4 linked regions of the Oryzias latipes genome follow. The protein of the gene in region 4 interacts with the protein of the main gene of each other region in a biochemical or structural test. Links are inferred from orthologs where the notes say so. Each region holds a gene or a part of one and is shown on either strand. Other genes may lie near its edges.

The links.
Region 1: the proteins of prkn (region 4) and ube2z form a complex in vitro, tested with the Homo sapiens proteins (2 studies listed by BioGRID). The link is inferred for Oryzias latipes from reciprocal best matches to the Homo sapiens genes PRKN and UBE2Z.
Region 2: the proteins of prkn (region 4) and ataxin-3 form a complex in vitro, tested with the Homo sapiens proteins (4 studies listed by BioGRID and IntAct, with this or other methods). The link is inferred for Oryzias latipes from reciprocal best matches to the Homo sapiens genes PRKN and ATXN3.
Region 3: the proteins of prkn (region 4) and abl1 form a complex in vitro, tested with the Homo sapiens proteins (2 studies listed by BioGRID, with this or other methods). The link is inferred for Oryzias latipes from reciprocal best matches to the Homo sapiens genes PRKN and ABL1.

The regions. Positions count from the first base shown.
Region 1 is NC_019866.2:24,086,811-24,091,060, reverse strand, and holds the start of ube2z (ubiquitin-conjugating enzyme E2 Z), read left to right. Parts: upstream 1-1,450; 5' UTR 1,451-1,877; coding exon 1,878-2,326; intron 2,327-3,377; coding exon 3,378-3,450; intron 3,451-4,250. UniProt on the Homo sapiens protein: Catalyzes the covalent attachment of ubiquitin to other proteins. Specific substrate for UBA6, not charged with ubiquitin by UBE1. May be involved in apoptosis regulation.
Region 2 is NC_019880.2:12,489,184-12,493,428, reverse strand, and holds the start of ataxin-3, read left to right. Parts: upstream 1-1,445; 5' UTR 1,446-1,489; coding exon 1,490-1,534; intron 1,535-2,003; coding exon 2,004-2,168; intron 2,169-2,245; coding exon 2,246-2,290; intron 2,291-2,374; coding exon 2,375-2,460; intron 2,461-2,547; coding exon 2,548-2,614; intron 2,615-2,689; coding exon 2,690-2,777; intron 2,778-2,850; coding exon 2,851-2,980; intron 2,981-3,054; coding exon 3,055-3,212; intron 3,213-3,303; coding exon 3,304-3,460; intron 3,461-3,600; coding exon 3,601-3,656; intron 3,657-3,802; coding exon 3,803-3,849; 3' UTR 3,850-4,245. Other genes in the region: E3 ubiquitin-protein ligase UBR1, read right to left, coding at 1,295-1,339. UniProt on the Homo sapiens protein: Deubiquitinating enzyme involved in protein homeostasis maintenance, transcription, cytoskeleton regulation, myogenesis and degradation of misfolded chaperone substrates.
Region 3 is NC_019870.2:12,824,770-12,829,025, reverse strand, and holds the start of abl1 (tyrosine-protein kinase ABL1), read left to right. Parts: upstream 1-1,456; 5' UTR 1,457-2,003; intron 2,004-2,726; 5' UTR 2,727-2,957; coding exon 2,958-3,084; intron 3,085-4,256. Other genes in the region: exosc2 (exosome complex component RRP4), read left to right, coding at 197-277. UniProt on the Homo sapiens protein: Non-receptor tyrosine-protein kinase that plays a role in many key processes linked to cell growth and survival such as cytoskeleton remodeling in response to extracellular stimuli, cell motility and adhesion, receptor endocytosis, autophagy, DNA damage response and apoptosis.
Region 4 is NC_019873.2:12,960,432-12,964,617, forward strand, and holds the start of prkn (E3 ubiquitin-protein ligase parkin), read left to right. Parts: upstream 1-1,386; 5' UTR 1,387-1,882; coding exon 1,883-1,901; intron 1,902-4,186. UniProt on the Homo sapiens protein: Functions within a multiprotein E3 ubiquitin ligase complex, catalyzing the covalent attachment of ubiquitin moieties onto substrate proteins. Substrates include SYT11 and VDAC1.

The DNA.
Region 1 (4,250 bases), on a different chromosome or scaffold from region 4:
CCGATTCTGATCAGACAAGATTCTTTTGAAGTTACAAAATCCAGTGCATTACCAAAAACAAGTTAAAGGTATCAGAGCCACAATAGTTAGTCTGACAATAGAATAACAGCTGTTTATTTCTCTACAGAAGTGTACTGGATTTTGGCTTTCTTGGAGGCAGCGATGAATTCCTGTTTGGAATGCCAAAGTGGGAGGAGTCACTGTCTAGTTGTCATATACAGTCAATGCTCTGCATGCAAATTAATTCATCTCATTCACAGACGCCTTGCAGGTGAAGTATGGGGTCACCCTGGACGGGCCGCCAGTCTGTCGCAGGGCCACAATCACACACCCATGCACATTCACACCTAGGGGCAATTTAGAGTGACCAATAAACCTATGAAGCATGTTATTGGATGGTGGGAGGAAGCCCTTGTATGTACAGGGAAAACATGCAAACTGCACACAGAAATTGATGTTCTGTTTCAGGTCCCCCCAAGCCGGTTCTTGAACCGGAGGACTTGGTACGTGGCTGCAGTCCAAGCTGAGACCTAGAACAAATTCAGAGCCCAAACAAACCGAGACTAACCGAGTTTAGGTTCACATTTGTATCTCAGACCCTCTGATTATTTTAAACGTCAGTCAGCATGCTTAAAGTCCTCCATATTTTAGCAATAATAACTTTTTTTTTCCTTTTTTGACACAAAGGATCCAGATCCTTCAGGAATTGTTGATCTTATCAATGTTTGTTTTTTTTACTTCATTTGATTAAAGATATTAACCTCTTATCTGAGACATATCGTTTTTGCCTTTCTTTTTCAACTGTTTCTTACTATTTGGTTATCATAATGAATGTGTTTTTTAAGGAAAAACCAATTCAGTATTTACAGTTTGAACAGCTGTTGATCTAGGAAACATCACTTTGTGTTCTCAACAATTTTAAGCTTCGTTTGACTTTTTATTTTAATTTGGCAATAGTCTAGGTGTACTACAACTTAGTGAGGCAGCATACTTGAAGTTTACTTCTCTATATTGAAAACCTAAAATGTTTCAATTTAGTCTGAGGAAGGGTTTAGTTGGTACACAGTTACACTAAACGTGCATCATTCATAGTAGACTTTCTATACTTCAGGTAAACTTAATAAAATAAACTGCAAGTGCAATACTCTTTGATATTCTGATCACATTCCCACAGGTCGGATCACCCCTAGTAATGCTCCCAGGTTACATCTGGTCATTTTTTAGTTTTATTTTTTGTTTTCTGCTGATAATTTAGGTAATAAATTATGATATTTTTTTAATATTAATTCTCTTGAACATGTCTAATGAGTAAGTTGTGCCTTTGGGGCCTCTAGGTCCCTAGGAGTTTATTTTACATTTAATTAACATGTATTTTTGCCACCCGGAAGTGTGTGGTTCATCTTAAAGTGAAAAAGAACAGCCGAAGGTTTATTTTGAAAATCCGACCGGAAGTCGACCGTTGAGGCCATGACTTGACAGGACAGAAAGCCCCAAAGTTGCGGTTTGTTCCTGGAGTTGAGTCGCGGAAAACGGCCGAAAGTCACCCGTTTTCTTCTGCGGTTTTCTTAACGCGACAACTAGCGGAGGTTTGACGGATTCGGTGACCGATAGGAGGGGGTCGGAGGAGCCTTTTGGAAGTCTAAATAGCCCAAGGAGGCCCGGGAAATGTTGGGCGAAGCTAACGCGGAATAGCCATCATCATCATGTCGTGGGAAGAAGCGTCTCGTTCTCCGGCATCGCCTGCGCTGCGTTCGGTCGCTCTCTGATCCCGCCCGGCCCGGAACCGCAGGCGTAACTCCAGGCTCGACTGTCAATGCCGGTGAAGTGCGGCTCGACACATTAGTGAGCAGCGACAGATTGACGGAAGCTTGCTAGCCATGGCGGACAGCGTCGGAGAGGAGTCCGGCGTCGGTTCGCTCGGCTTAGGCGTTACCGGACAGGGCGGCGGAGCCTCGCCGCTCCCCGCTTTGGCCAACTCGCTGCCGGGGGGACTTTTCGCCGCGAGCGTGGGTCACCCCAGCACCTCCTCGGCCTCCTTCCCGCCCGCCGCGGTGGCGCAGAGTGGCCTTACGGCTTTGGTGGCCCCCGTGGCCGCAGTCACCCCCACCGCTGCCGGCTTCGGGGAAACCTTCACCCCCGCCTCCTCGCCGCCCGTCGTGGCCGTGTCTCCCATCGCGCACGCGTCCTCCCCGGTGCCGGGGGTGGGGTTGGGCGTAGCAGGAGGGGGCCTGCTGTCCCAGATCCACGCCACTTCCTGGGACCCGTCTCTAAGCACAGACTGGGACAACGAGAAGGCGTCGCAGCAGTGCATTCTGAGGATAAAGAGGTAAGCGAGAGCCCCCACACACCTGCTGAGACCCCCCCAATCCTCTTGACCTCACCTGACCTCACCACCTTTTCAACTAGGTCCCTCTGAAAAGAGTTATTTAGTTTTAGCCACGGGTCCCACGCCTCAGCCACCGAGAAAGTGAAAGTAAAAGTTTCCCATCTTGAAAAGTCACAGGAAGTTCTGAACTTTTTGAGTTTCCCTTCCAAAACTCAGAGAAACTTGATTTACTCTCTTATCAGACATTTCCTGAAGAGAGGGCCTGCAGGTCATCCCCGTCCCATCACAGCAGCAAGTTCAGAAGAAAAAATATATATCTCATCTGCCCAAGTGATTAGAACTCAAGTTTAGCCTAACATGGTGCAGGTGATGTGATGTTCAGTCTCCCTGATGCCTCCCCCTGCAGACAAATGGATCCATGAGCGTCTTTGTTTTTCCTCGTCCGGACTGGCATTGGATCTAAACTGTACGGCTGCATATATCTGATATCGCTCGCCGTTTTTGTGGTCACGTCAGCTTTCTGTTTACCCTGTCCTGCTAGCTTACAGCTCCTCACAACCTAAAACACGATTGGTGCAAAAAGCCACGAGCAATATTGGAGTTTTGTATATTTTTGAGGAAAACAAAGACGTACACGGATCTTGTCGTCTACATGGAGGCAAGTTTCTTACAGCGCTTAAAATAATGTTACTTAGTTTTGACAGGCAGATACTGTGATGCAGGTTATTCTGCAGTTTGTCACCGATTTGTTTTGCGTAGCTTTATTTTTTCCGGCCTTCTTTGATGGACAGAAACTCACAAATGTTGAAAAGCTGGTGAAGAAACCCATTTCCTGGTTGAATCTTCCCTCGTGGTCGTCAAACATGGGTCCTGGACAGATGCAGTTCACCTCCGACTCTGCGAAGAACGTCTCACGCAGACGCATGCAGACACGTTTTGCAGACGCATCCCACGGTGTCTGCGCATGCAGACGTGTTTCCCGCCTCTCTGCTTTGCTCAGGCGCTCTTATGTTTTGGGGGGGGTTCTTCACATTGTTCTTTCTGTCTGCAGGGATATCATGTCCATCTACAAGGAACCTCCTCCCGGCATGTTTGTGGTGCCTGATCCTCAAGATATGACCAAGGTAAAGAGCAGAACCGGCAGCAGCGGACTTCAGTGGAACCGGGACGTTTCGCTTCTGTTTCTGGTGCATTTCATGAAACATCTAAAGGGTTTTCAAATGGGGTGGGCGTGTCATAAGTAGAGCAGTCGACATCTGATTTCAGGTTTGGTTCCCATTCTGCTCACCCATGTTGAAGTGTCCTTGGGTTTGACACCGAACCCCTAGTTAGTGCCTCGGGTGACAGCTCTGCTGCTATTGGTGTGTAATTGTGCGTTTGTGTGTGTATGAAGAGGTGAGTAAATGTTCTTTACAGACACGTAAAGAAAAAGAAGCGGCTGGATGAGTTTTTGTCTTCCCGCGGTTCCATCATGGCCTCCGTGTTTCTCGGGCTTCGTTTCCTCGCATGTCGTCGTTTCCTGTTGACGTTCGCAGGGCTCCAGACTAACTTTTTTCACTAGGAGCACTGTGGCCCTCAACTGAAAATTTTAAGGGCACAACCAGAAAATTTAAGGGCGCATACCGTAAATCAACATGCAAACCAAATCTATTAATTTCCACTGTATTACTGATAAATACTTAAATAATAGATGCAGAAATTACAATGTGCTGTTTCAAATTCGGTGTCACATTTTATTCTGCCCTTTTGAAGATGCAACAACAGGTAAACTGACAGCAGCATCGCTGTCATGACAGTACAAATAAGTAAACAAAATACCATACATTTAAAAATTAAAAAAAGTTTTTAGTAACAAGTGATTACCATAGTAACCTGTCGGTCATTTCACAGTTACAAACAATACTTAAATGTATGTAAACATTAG
Region 2 (4,245 bases), on a different chromosome or scaffold from region 4:
ATTATGTTTCTTATAGATATAATCCAACCAGATCAATCTGTCCGAGGCAAATTGATAATTGCATCGACCTTTACTATTATAAAATTGTTTCAAAATGAATCGATTAGAGCTGATATTAGTGAATACCATCTGGATTGAGGCACGGTAAGTTTATTTCACAACAACATAAATATGAATCGGTGTCATCACAGAGGACAACACACATGTGATGGCTGCAAAAAAGGATCAATCCATAATTACAGTCCAATGTGTGGAAACACTTTTTACAAAGACATGTGACCATAAAGTGTGGTAGAATGTTCTAATAATGTTCTGTTTAGATTATTTTGTTGTGGGCTGAACTTTAGGAAACTAAAATGTCAATGGATTTGCCATTAATCCCTGTTCACTTGTTTGCTTGTACACATATTTAATTCACACTTTATTATTTATTTAATTTACACATTCTTGCAGGAGAATCCTTCACCTGCTCTACAGTACCCAGGTATTTATCACCGAGTCACACACTGGTTGATTTTTTGGCTAAAATGTCCTGAATCGATTTTCAGTCTATAAATCGTATCGTTCAAAATGAACCAATATCACCTATGAATCATATCAGCAACTAAAAAATATAATGATATGAATCAAATCATGGTTAAAATTTAACGTTACACCCCTACTTTCTAGTCTTTAGTGCCTTGAACTACAGACAACATATGATCATGTGTATATAGAAAAGCTAGAACATTGTTACTGAATTCTCCAAATCTGCTTTCCTTTTAGGATATAATAAACTTTATAATAAAAGTCCAATGATAAGTTAGTGTGAAGGAAGATTAGCTCAACAAATCGGGATGTAAATAGTTGGCAGGATCATTGTGAAAATTTAAACGATAAAATTATGGTTCGTAATAAATGTTCAGTTTCACATTCATTTTTCGAAAGATACAACTTTTTTTCACTAAATTCTTCAAAAAAACAGGACTGATGCTCAGTGTTTAAAACTCGTAAAACGGGGTTTTGGACAAAACTAAGTACTAAAATATCAGATTGACCTACACATCTGCAAACAGATCGCGTTTCTGACGAAGATTCAAATCGCTGATGCTAAACAATACCGAAAAATAAACCTGTTTTGTAGCATCTCTAAGCTAGTAAAGCGGTTAGCCGTTTCCAGCTTCTGCCTGCTAGCTTTAGGACCGTCACTGCGCGTTGAGCCCGTTTTCTGTGTAGCATTTTATAACCCCACGCGTACGTGTCAAATATCCGAATCTCGGTAATAACTGTCAGTTTTTAATTTGCAACGCCATACCTTACTGAGCTCCAGTCCGTCAAGGTGTTTCTTACTCTCTGCCATATTTCATTTGCCGAAAAAGGAGGGGGGTTTCCTGTGTGACCAATATCCTTTCGGTTGTTGGAACGGAGCGAGGTTGTACTCCAAAATGATCCATAGAGGGCGCTAATAGAGATTGGTTCCCATCTTTACAGGAGTAGGGGTCAAAGTTGAATGTTTGACAGAAATCTAAACATGGATTCCATATTTCATGAAAAAGTAGGTTTAAACAATTTACTTGTGACATTAAACTGAACGCCTTTACTCGTGTGTAGTCGGAGAGAGTAAAGACACTTAGCATTTATTTAGAGTTTGTGTTTAGCCGGTGCTAGCTTCAATCTAATGTTATTTTGGCTTTATTCAGACTGCTAATGCTAACTCACTTGCTAACCAGGTGTTGTTAAGTTTCTTTAAAAGCTAATAGAATGAAGTTAGAAAACGAGTTTGCGGTATTTATTGTACACTTCGACTCCACCAATAATTATTAAAGAAAAAGGATACTAAAGTTGTATGTTGCTCGTTGTTTAGATGTTTGAAACATTATTTATTTTTTATTTATTTTTTTGTAGTTGCTTTAGCTTTTTGTATAATCTATCTCCAAGGTTTTGTAAGTTTTTGCACTCCATTTTGAAAAAGTGGAGACCTTTTTTTTTCTCAATACGTTTACGCAGTTATTCTTTGTTTTCAGCAAGAGGGTTCCTTATGTGCCCAGCACTGCCTCAACAACCTTTTGCAGGGGGAGTATTTTACCCCTGTAGACCTGTCCTCAATTGCTCATCAGCTTGACGAAGAGGAGAGAATGAGAATGGCAGAAGGAGGTATGGGTAGTGAAGAGTACAGGACCTTCTTACAGGTAAGTGGGGACAGGTAACAGATGTTTTCTGCAGTGGTACATGTATTTAAACAACTGTTTTAATAATAACTTTATAGCAGCCATCTGGAAACATGGACGACAGCGGATTCTTTTCAATACAAGTATGTTTATGTGCTTTGTCATATGATCATTAGCAATCAACTTTACAAGATTGTCTTATCACTCCTTATGACTGATTTTTATAGGTAATTAGCAATGCTCTCCGAGTGTGGGGATTGGAGTTAATTCTCTTCAATAGCCGGGAGTACCAGAGCTTGATGATAAATCCAATGTAAAGTTGTATTTTCAAGACTTCCTTGTATAGCAAGTCGATCCCACACCCACATTTAAATCCTGACTTGATGTCTTTGCCTTTAAGAAACGAGAAGGCCTTCATTTGCAATTATAAGGAGCATTGGTTCACCATACGCAAGCTTGGACAACAGGTATGTCGATTTTTATTTTTTTACTTTTCAATACGTGTGTTGATGCTTAATTTACTTATTTAATTATTATTACAGTGGTTTAACTTGAATTCACTCTTGACTGGACCAGAGCTGATATCAGACACATATTTAGCTCTTTTCCTGGCACAGCTACAACAAGAAGGTATTGTAAAGCCGACTTGTTTACACTATTGCACCTTTTGGTACACAAATACAAAAATAATGTATTTCTGCAGGATATTCCATATTTGTGATCCAAGGGAATCTTCCCGAATGTGAAGCAGAGCAGATTCTCGGAATAATGCGGGTTCAACAACAGCAACGGCCCAGGCTAATTGGAGAGGATGAGGCTCAGACAAGTTCAGGGTAGGTTTGTGGAAAATGGTCCTCGCTTGGATTACATTAGGTCTTGTTTGGACATAATACATGTCTGTTTTTAGAAGCAGATCCGTTGCTCGGGGGCAAATGGACGTTGTATCAGATGAGGCTGTGGATGACGATGAAGAACTAAAGAGAGCTCTGGCACTCAGCAGACAGGAAATGGATGTGGAAGATGAAGAAGCTGACCTTCGCAGGGCCATTCAGCTCAGCATGCAAGGTGTGCCATTTCAAAGCTCCAGGCTGATTTGAAAATATTTTATTATATTGGAATTTTTTAACCCTTTTTTTGACGTTTTTCCTTTAACTAGGATCAGGCATGAGTAACAAATCTTCAGAGTCTGATGTGGGAAATGTGAAATCCGAAAAACGGACTGTACAGAGTTCTACATGTGGAGATAAACCAGGCCAGAATGAGACACTTACTGCTGAGGAGCTGAGGAAGAGGAGACAAGCTTATTTTGATCGGTAGGATTTGATCTGTAAAACTTGAATTTAACAAAAAAAAAAACTTTCAGTAATATGTGTACACATGTTCAAAGGTCTTTTTTTAGTGAGCAGAAAGGAGAAATGTGCCTTATGAACCAGACTTTCGTATTATCTTTCAGGCAAGCACAACCAAGCATTCCACGACAGTTAGAAAGTCATGCAACCAGTGACTCTGGTGAGTAAACTCTATTTAAAATTCAAAACACCCTATATGTATAACACCCATTATATACAGTTTTTTGCATATCAGAATGAAAATGTAGATATTATTTTCATGTCAGAACAATAACCCAAGTATCCATTTTTTGCCCCTAACACCAGAAAAATCCAACTCTATGGAGGACCAACAAGAAAAAGACACCAAATAAAGTTGTGAAAGCTTTGCTGCTTTTGTCTACCAACGCTCTGAACTTGAAACCCTGTACAGGGGTTGGCTTCTCTCCATTCTCTAACCTTTTGCAAACGCAAACATACTGCAGCCAGAAGGCCGACACATGGTTTCCTTCGCTGGGTTTGCTGATGGGCAAGGGAAAGGCAGCACTTGGTCAAATCAGACCTCAGTGTGGTACAGAGATGGGGGAAAAGGGTGATCGCTGGACTTAAAAATGACTCATAATGTAGTTATTCCAAGTTTTCAATGGCCTTTTTTTATTTTACCATAGAGCCTTCTATTTCTTTACATTCTGGTTTTTGTTGTCTTAATTTTTTTTGAAAACATAAAGAGAAAATGAATGAAAAATGGGTTAACTTTTATGAAGTTGGAT
Region 3 (4,256 bases), on a different chromosome or scaffold from region 4:
TTGCAGAATGGAACAGACATTATTTATTGAAATAAACAAATCAGATATAAATATATGTTTTTAATTTATTCTGAGAAATGGTAAATTTATGAGCAATTCGTGTATTTTGGTGAAATGCATGTAACTATAAATGTTTCTGGACTTTTACAAAACGATAACAACCTGTTTTAAAGATTTCCCTTTTCCCTGCCTGTAGGTCAAGGACATCTTAAAACCCGAGGTGATGGAAGAGATTGTCATGTTGACCCAACAGAAGCTGCTGGAACAGGAAGGATAAAAGGCTAATGCTAAAACCACATCCAACAACGGGGCCACCATCCACTTATCCAAAAATTAAGTTTAGTTGTCTTCTATGAATCAAAGTGAGGTGCTCAGAGATCACATTCTTTATTTGATATCAAACATTAATAATGCATATAACCTGAATGAAAATTAAAATGTTGTCCACATTTGTAAATGCTCGGTGTGACATTACATTGTGATGGTTTTGTATAAAATAAAATTTCAGTCATTTCTGTATAGTTCTCATCGTGGTCTGTATTGATAAAAAACAATGAGTACATTGAATCAATTAACCTATAAGAACCCATGGTGGACATAATTGTAACAAAATCATCAAAAGTGTGTTCTTTGGTCCACTTGGATTTTTGTATATTCAAAATAATTTTCGTTTGAAGGAAAATGGGTCTTCAGGGTTAATGTTAGATCTTAAAATAAATCTGATTATTTCACTCTTCATTAAATGTTAAATTAAATATTGTTAAATGTTTAGCAGCATTTTGGTGCTTCATGCTTCTACTAACTTAAATACTTTTTTTTCATAACAGTCTGAATCATTAGCTCTCAAGAAATGTTTTTTATTTTAAACAATAAAAAAATGAAATTCAATTTGCTACATAAAATATTTATTAGTTGGAACATGGCCTACATTTCCCTTTTTATGTACTAATTTTTGAAAATTCATTAATTGTTAGTTTTATATGCAGGATTTAATTTTTTTTCTCATAGTTGTTTGATAACTAAAAAAAATGTTCTACTCTAAGACAGGTTAATAAAAAGTGACTTTATTTATATAAAAGTGTGCAATCACCTTTGTTATTCCTGAATGTTTTTTCTAACCAACCTTGTATTCTTTTAAATGAAGAAAGCTAAAAAAAGAATTCGATTTATCCCTGCTGGGATGGCTTTTCCCCTTCTGTTTCCCTTCCTGCTCCTCCAGCAGAATCCAAACTCGTGCGCTTCCCTCATTTTTTTTCCAAACTTTATTGATCATAACATTAAATTTACAAAACATAACATCAAGGAATAAAATAGATCAGCATCAACAACTATTGTCATCATTCCAAACTTATTCAACCACAGCAAGTAACAAACGTAGCAGAAACATATCAAAAACGTGCGCTTCCCTCATGGTTTTTTTTTTTTTTTTTTGCGCTTCCCTCATGGTGCTAGCCCACGCTGAGCTCGTGACGTCACACGTAGCCCCACCCACATATTTCTGTAAACCACCTTACGTATGGAAGTATGGCGGTTCCAGCGACAGAACTGGAACTCGGCCAAAGTTTACTGCTCAGGTTTTCACGTGAAAGTGATGAATAAGCACGCAAGCATAGAGCTCGCTAGTAAAGGGCACGGCGGCTGGGAATTCGGGAGAAAATCTAGGAGACAGAGTCGTCTGGCCCTCAGAGTTCCCTCAACTTCGCCTACAAGTGGCTTTAGAGACGCGGGGGGAGACGCTCCACAAAACGGGAAGAGTGGACGCGGAAGTTTGAAACACACCAACAAGTGCTTTGATTTTTGGTTACAGAGTGTGAAACTGCGGTCACGGGACATGTTTTGGTGAGATAATGAAGTGGACTTGACTGCGGTTACCAGCAGAAACCAACCGTTGACTGTCCGGCGTGCATAGGGGTCTGGCGCTGCTTACCACCAGCAGAAGTTTGGTTAGCTTATGGCTATCGTCAACATTAGCTGGAGCTAACCAACAGTGTCAATGTTTTCATGTAAGTTTACCTCACATTTAAACACTTATCAACGTTTTATTTTTTAACTGTACAGTTTTATTAGAGTCAAAAACAAAGATGTCGTTGTCACAAAGTTGTTTATAGTTAATTAAACCACGTATGACACTAGTTTACATTATTGTGCTCGAAAGATTAAGACTAAGATAGTCGAGATAAACAACATAAGGTGTCGCTTTTCTTTAGTACTGATAAGCAAATGTATTTTCAGTATTTGTAGTTAGTTATGTGAAGCTGTAACTAAACCGAGACTAACCCAACACTATTATTTTGAGGCTGTGATTGACGTTAAACAATTTAGAAAAGTAGTTGTTCGAACCCTAAACCTAACAAACTTGAGGAAATACTTTCAATTTAACTCTCAACTTCTACAGAACAAGACATTTTTGAGCAGTTTTAACATTAAAAAGACACTTATTCTAAATTATAATTAATTTAATCTTTTGATCTGATTGGTCAGGCTCTAAAATTATTTTTTTAATCTAGATTATTATAAAATGCATTTCATGTTATTATTTAACATGTGGTCAGGTCTAATACTTTTTACAGAACAGAAATAGTCTTAAAACAACTCCCAAAATTGAAAGTTTGTTGGCGTATTGCTTAAAAGACATTTTTTTACAAGCTTATTTGTCATTTCTTTATTTAAAAAAAGTTTGATCAGATAACTTTGAATGCTGATTACTGTTGTTTACGTTTCTGCAGATTCCTGTTAGGTCCCTCATATGTCGTCTGAATGCATAAAAAAACTGAACCCTACTGGAGTAACACAGACTTGTGCAGGAGGCCTGCATCACCAATACTCCAGGAGAAGACAGTGTGAGCCCGGAAAGAGGCTCCTGTCTTCTCCAGATCCCGCCATTGCCGCTCAGCAAGCTTTCTAACCGACTCCGTCCGACTTGGATAGTCCCGGCTGCAGCCTGGCACCCTGCCCTTATGGGGCAGCAGCCGGGAAAGTTTGTCGGGGACCAAAGGAGACCCAGTCTTCCAGCCTTTATTAAGGGGGGAAAGAAGGACTTACCGCGCCATGTGAATCAGCCGATGAATGTTTTTGATTGGCACGGTAAGATCACAACCCCACTCATTTTTAAGGTAAAAATTCAGAGACAAAAAATACTGAAGGACAATCATTTGCTTTTTTCCACTTCCTATTGGCAATCACAAATTCTAGATATTAATGTCTGCATTCAATAGGCTCATGTTTTTTAATCAGTTTATATTTTAGAAGACTTTGTCTTGCGTGCACTAGCTTCAGCAAAATCTTTGGCAGAAAATTTAGGGGATTTGACATCTTTGTCATTGATTAAAAAGCTGGCAAAACAATCCATGCAACCTGAGCAGAAAATCAAATCTATGCAGCTTCAAAATCTGATCCAAAGGTATTTTACCAAACTTTTTAACCTTAAATTTACCTTTTTAAATGCAAATTCAATTGCAAATGCATTTTCCTGCAGATAAATTAACCTGGATGACAAGTTTGTGCTTAGTTTGGCCTTATATGATATAATTATTATTGGATTAATATTTCACAGATGTTTCAAAGTTCCCTGAGAAAATAAAAGCGTTTTCTCTCACATCAACTTCCATTACGGTGTGATCAATGATATGCCACTTTGAAAATGTTGTGCCTAAATCAAAAGTGTATAGGGATGTTTAAAACTCAGTCATAGATATGTAATTAAATATGAAGCTTACTTCAAAGCATTTTACAACATTATCCAATACAACCTATTGCTGAATATAACATAAAAACCTTTGTTCTTAAGCTAAAAGCTTGCTTGTCAGTAAAATGTTGACTTAAAACCTTATTTAAACACTTTTTCTTGTGATTTTTAAAATGAAAACATTTGTGCTTGTGATTAGGATTTACAATCATCATTTTTTTATGATCTGAAAAAGAGTTTACAACTGTGCTCCAAATGTACCGGATGCAATCTGATTAAAAATTGCAAATTATTCATTAATGTGGAGGACTAAAGCCCCTTTGGATTGATTTTGAAATTAAAAAAAAAAGCTTGATAGTTAGAGTGGGAAGGGAAAGAGGAAGAAGATGGAATGAACAAATTCCATTAGGAAAAAAAAACAGGGATTTTGTGGGCTTTTGGCCACAAAAGCAGAGCAAAATTAAATGCAATTTAAACCATTTCTGTCATTAGTATTTTGAAGGAGTATGAAAGCTATTTTAGCGTGCGATCATGCTCAATGATACCATCTCTGTTTTCTTATGTTATGTCC
Region 4 (4,186 bases):
CCCCTGCTCTGAACTGGATTGGACCGGTTTGAGGATAAGGCATAAGTATTGACTGGTTCCGGGGTGTTGTGGAACCAATTCTCGAAAAAAGTTGAAACTCAGAAATGTTCTGGACCCGTTCTGGTTGTCCAGGTCTCAGGAACTGAAAATGGTTTCTTCCTCTTTGGTGTAAATAGCAGCAGGATATCCTAAAATGGTCATCAGGTGGGGATGCCGCATACGGTCACACCTGTATGGTCAGAACTGACACTTAGCTTTGCGTATGGAGTAATGTAATTAGATTCAAACATACACAATTGCCCTCCCCTTTTACCTCCCTTTCACCTGTATGGCGGCACCTGCCGTTTCCCAAAGGCATCATGGGAAATGAAGCTGGATCATCAAACCAGTTTGCCGCTGTGAAACACGATTGGATCGATCATCTGTGGTTTTCATCCACAAAACTGGTCCTTTAAACGACGAGCAGGTCCAAAACTGCATCGACACCGGACCCGTGAGCAGTTATCCAACTTTTGATCCATTTAGTTGATTGATGGTCAGAAGAACTTTCTGTCCCTGTTGGCAGTTTTCCCTACCTCGCTCCAGTGGATTGGGCTGATTAGGCCAGCCAGGCTGCTGATGCTGTGTTTTGATTGGCTGACGGTGTTCTTTGTTATCTGGCTGGCCAGTCAATCTTGGTTACTATAACAACAGTTTAATCATCAGCAGGCAGAAATGGGTGTTCTATTCTTCAAAATAAAAGCTTCTAGCAGAAATCCACGCTGGAGTCCGAGGGATGTGTCCCGGCGCTCCTCAGAGAAAACTATCTTGTCGGGTCCTAAGACGTCTGTTGGTAAGGTGGAATGTTCTGATGTTCCAGAAACAAAGTTGTCATGACAGCATTGGCTCCTCCTCACATATAAAGGTGTTCTTCGTGTTCTCCAGCTCCCGCCACGGTGTATGGAGCATGCTGATGAACTGGGACAGATGTTTGGTCAGTTCAAGCCTCTGGACTCCACGTTCATTTGGAGCAGCTCTCACCAAAATAAAAGCTTTTCCTGTGCCCGCCCAGGAACAGTTATTGAAAAAGAGTTGGCTTGGAGTTAATTTAATGGTGACATATTTATTTTGGTCTCAATGCCTATGACCCCCCCCTTTCACCAAGAGACAAAAACACTCAGTCCCTCCCACCATGTTCCAGTTTTGTTTCTGACACCTCTCCTGTCTACAGTTTAGACCAGTGTTGTGTTGGTTTGTTGCAGTGGGGGGGTGATGGTGGTTTTCATTGTATCGTGTTTGCCAATAGAATAAAGCTGTTGACATGTTTGTCTCGTCTTTGGAATAAACTTCTATCCAGGCTGTTTTTACTTCCTGCCTCCAGCAGGAGGAGCACACATGGAAGCACGGAGCCACAGGGAATTTTTGGGGATACCATCAATTGTAGATCCAGTCAGCTTTAAATTTAGGCAGAACATAAAGGTTAATCCAAAGTCAAACCACAGCTATAGAGCACATGGGAGACAATCTGCATACATACACCCTTTAAATAAGCCAATATTTCAAAATAATCGAGTGCAAGCTGACTTTATCTGTATCCTGTAGAAGGTTCCGGCTGAGGAGCGCGCGCCAGGATCTGCTGTCACTGAGGACACATGGATAAGTCATCCAACCTTTCCGATCAAAGATCGACTGTAGTGGATATTTAGTACCAGCTGCTATTTTCTAGATGTTTCAAAAACAACCACTGAATGGCTGTTGAGTTTATTCATCGTCAGAGTTTGAATTTTAATCGTGTTTTTTGTTAAGTACATACACTTCCGGTGTTGTTTACGTCACACTGTACAGCGGACCGACGCCGGAAACATAGGAGAAAATGTACTACAGCTCCCAGAATGCTTAGCGAATGAGAAGGCTGATGATCGGTGAGTTCCGAACCGGGTCCCCAGTTCCAAACCGGGATATCTTCGACTGACCAATCGCGCTGATCTTATCTGGTCTGTCCGCGTTCCCGTCAGTTAGATCGGTCCCGGGCCAACATTAAGCGCGGGTTTAAGATGGGGTCGGTTGGGTTGACGCCGGGACCTTGCACCGGCGTTAAACTGTAAACATACAGATACACAACATGAATGTGTTGAAGCTGCTTAGTTATTTATCATGGTTGATTTCCCAGAATTTTGTTAACAAAACAAGCGGACATGTTTTGTTTGTTGGCTTAACCTTATGTGACCGTCTACTTCTTCCCAAATAAATCCGCTTCAGCGTGACACTTCTGTAATTTATGTACATTTCCAAGTTGGCACAATACCACAAACACCACAAGTAATGCACAAAAATAGCAGTAAAAATAATAAAGGAATACAGTTTGTTTACAGACTTTTACAAATTCGTGTTGTCTTATAATACTGCTCTGACTGTCTCATTAAAATAACATGATCCTGACAGTAAAAACACAGCTCTGGATTTCCATTTTGCCATTAAACCTTTATTTAAGCCGTCTTTCTTAATCCACAAGTTTTTGTTTAACAAGTCTGTCTCTAATCTAATATTCATTTCTAAACTCCCAGAGAAAACTGCTGCAGATCAACTCTGTGAGCGTTTGAACAGAATAATTTGTGATGAGTTTTAGTCAGAATTTCCCATATCATAGCTCTGCTGAAGGTAACCATGACCTCATGGCTGCCTGTACTTGTGTCTGTGCATGTTCTTTTAGGCCTCAGTGCTGTTTGTTTGACATACTTGATTAGAACGTTTTGTTGCAGCTAATAGAATATGGCATTGTCAAAATGCTTCCAACACTAGTATGAAGCACAGAAAACATTTCCATTGGTCATTTTTGTCATGAGATGAACTTGAATTTCTGAAACATTTTCTACATACACAATATAACAATTTCTTTCAATTATTGCTGACAAAACTGCCTACATTTGTGATATTTAGCACTTCTGCTTTGCTGAGATGATCCATCTCACCTCACTGGTGTGCCATATCAAGATGCTGTTTAGACAGCATGATTATTGCACAAAAGACTGGCCTCAAAAAGAGGCCAGTCTGAAATGTGCCGTTTTGCTTTGTTGGGGGTCTGGGGACTCAGAAAGCCGGTCAGTATCTGGTTTGACCAACATTTGCGGCATGCAGTGCAACCCATCTTCTCTGCACAGAGTTCATCAGATTGTCAGGTGGCATGTATACTTTCAAGAGAATCTGAGACCAGCCACTCAGACAGCTGCTGAAACAATTGGTTCGCAAAACCCCAAAAAATCTCCACAGAAACCATCTCAGGTAAGCTCATCTGCATGCTTGTTGTCCTCATCGATGCTAAAGCCCGACTCCAGTTTGTTGTCATAACCGACTTGAGAGGGCAAATGCTCACATGACACATGGAGAAGTGCTCTCTTCACGAATAAATCCTGACTCATTCTCTTTACTGGACATGTCAGACAGAACAGAGGTGCATTTGATTGACAGCATTTTGAATGCACAGAGACCCGGTGGGCCGTTGTATCCCATACATCCAACAACATCACCCCATGTTGCAGCATGATATTGCACGGCCCTGTGTTGCAAGGATCTGAACACAATTCTTGGAAGCTGGAAAAACATCCCAGTTCTTGCGTGGCCAGCATCGTCACCGGACATGTCACACATTGAGTATGTTTGGGATGCTCTGGATCAGCGGATACGACCGCGTGTTCCAGTTCCTGCAAACATCCAGCAACTTTACACAGCCATTGAAGAGGAGTGGGCCAACATTCCCTTAATCGCAAACCTTATCAGCTCTGTGTGAAGGAGATGCACTGCATGAGGTAAATGTTGGTCACACCAGATACTGACCGGCTTTCTGAGTCCCCAGACCCCCAATAAAGCAAAACGGCACATTTCAGACTGGCCTTTTATTGAGGCCAGTCTAAGGCACACTTGTGCAAAGATCATGCTGAGGAAAAAGCATCTTGATATGGCACACCTATGAGGTGGGAGGGATTATCTCAGGAGAAGTGCTCACTATCACAGATTTAGACGGATTTTATGGACAATATTTGAAAGAAATTGTTATTTTTGTGTTTGTAGGAAATGTTCAGATCTTTGAAATCAGCTTAAGACAAACGGGAGCAAAAACAAAACTGTTGCGTTTATATTTTTGTTCAGTGTAGTTTCAAAGATTTCAAGTCTTGGATGACTTCCAATTTTCTTTCACTAACTCAGAAAACAG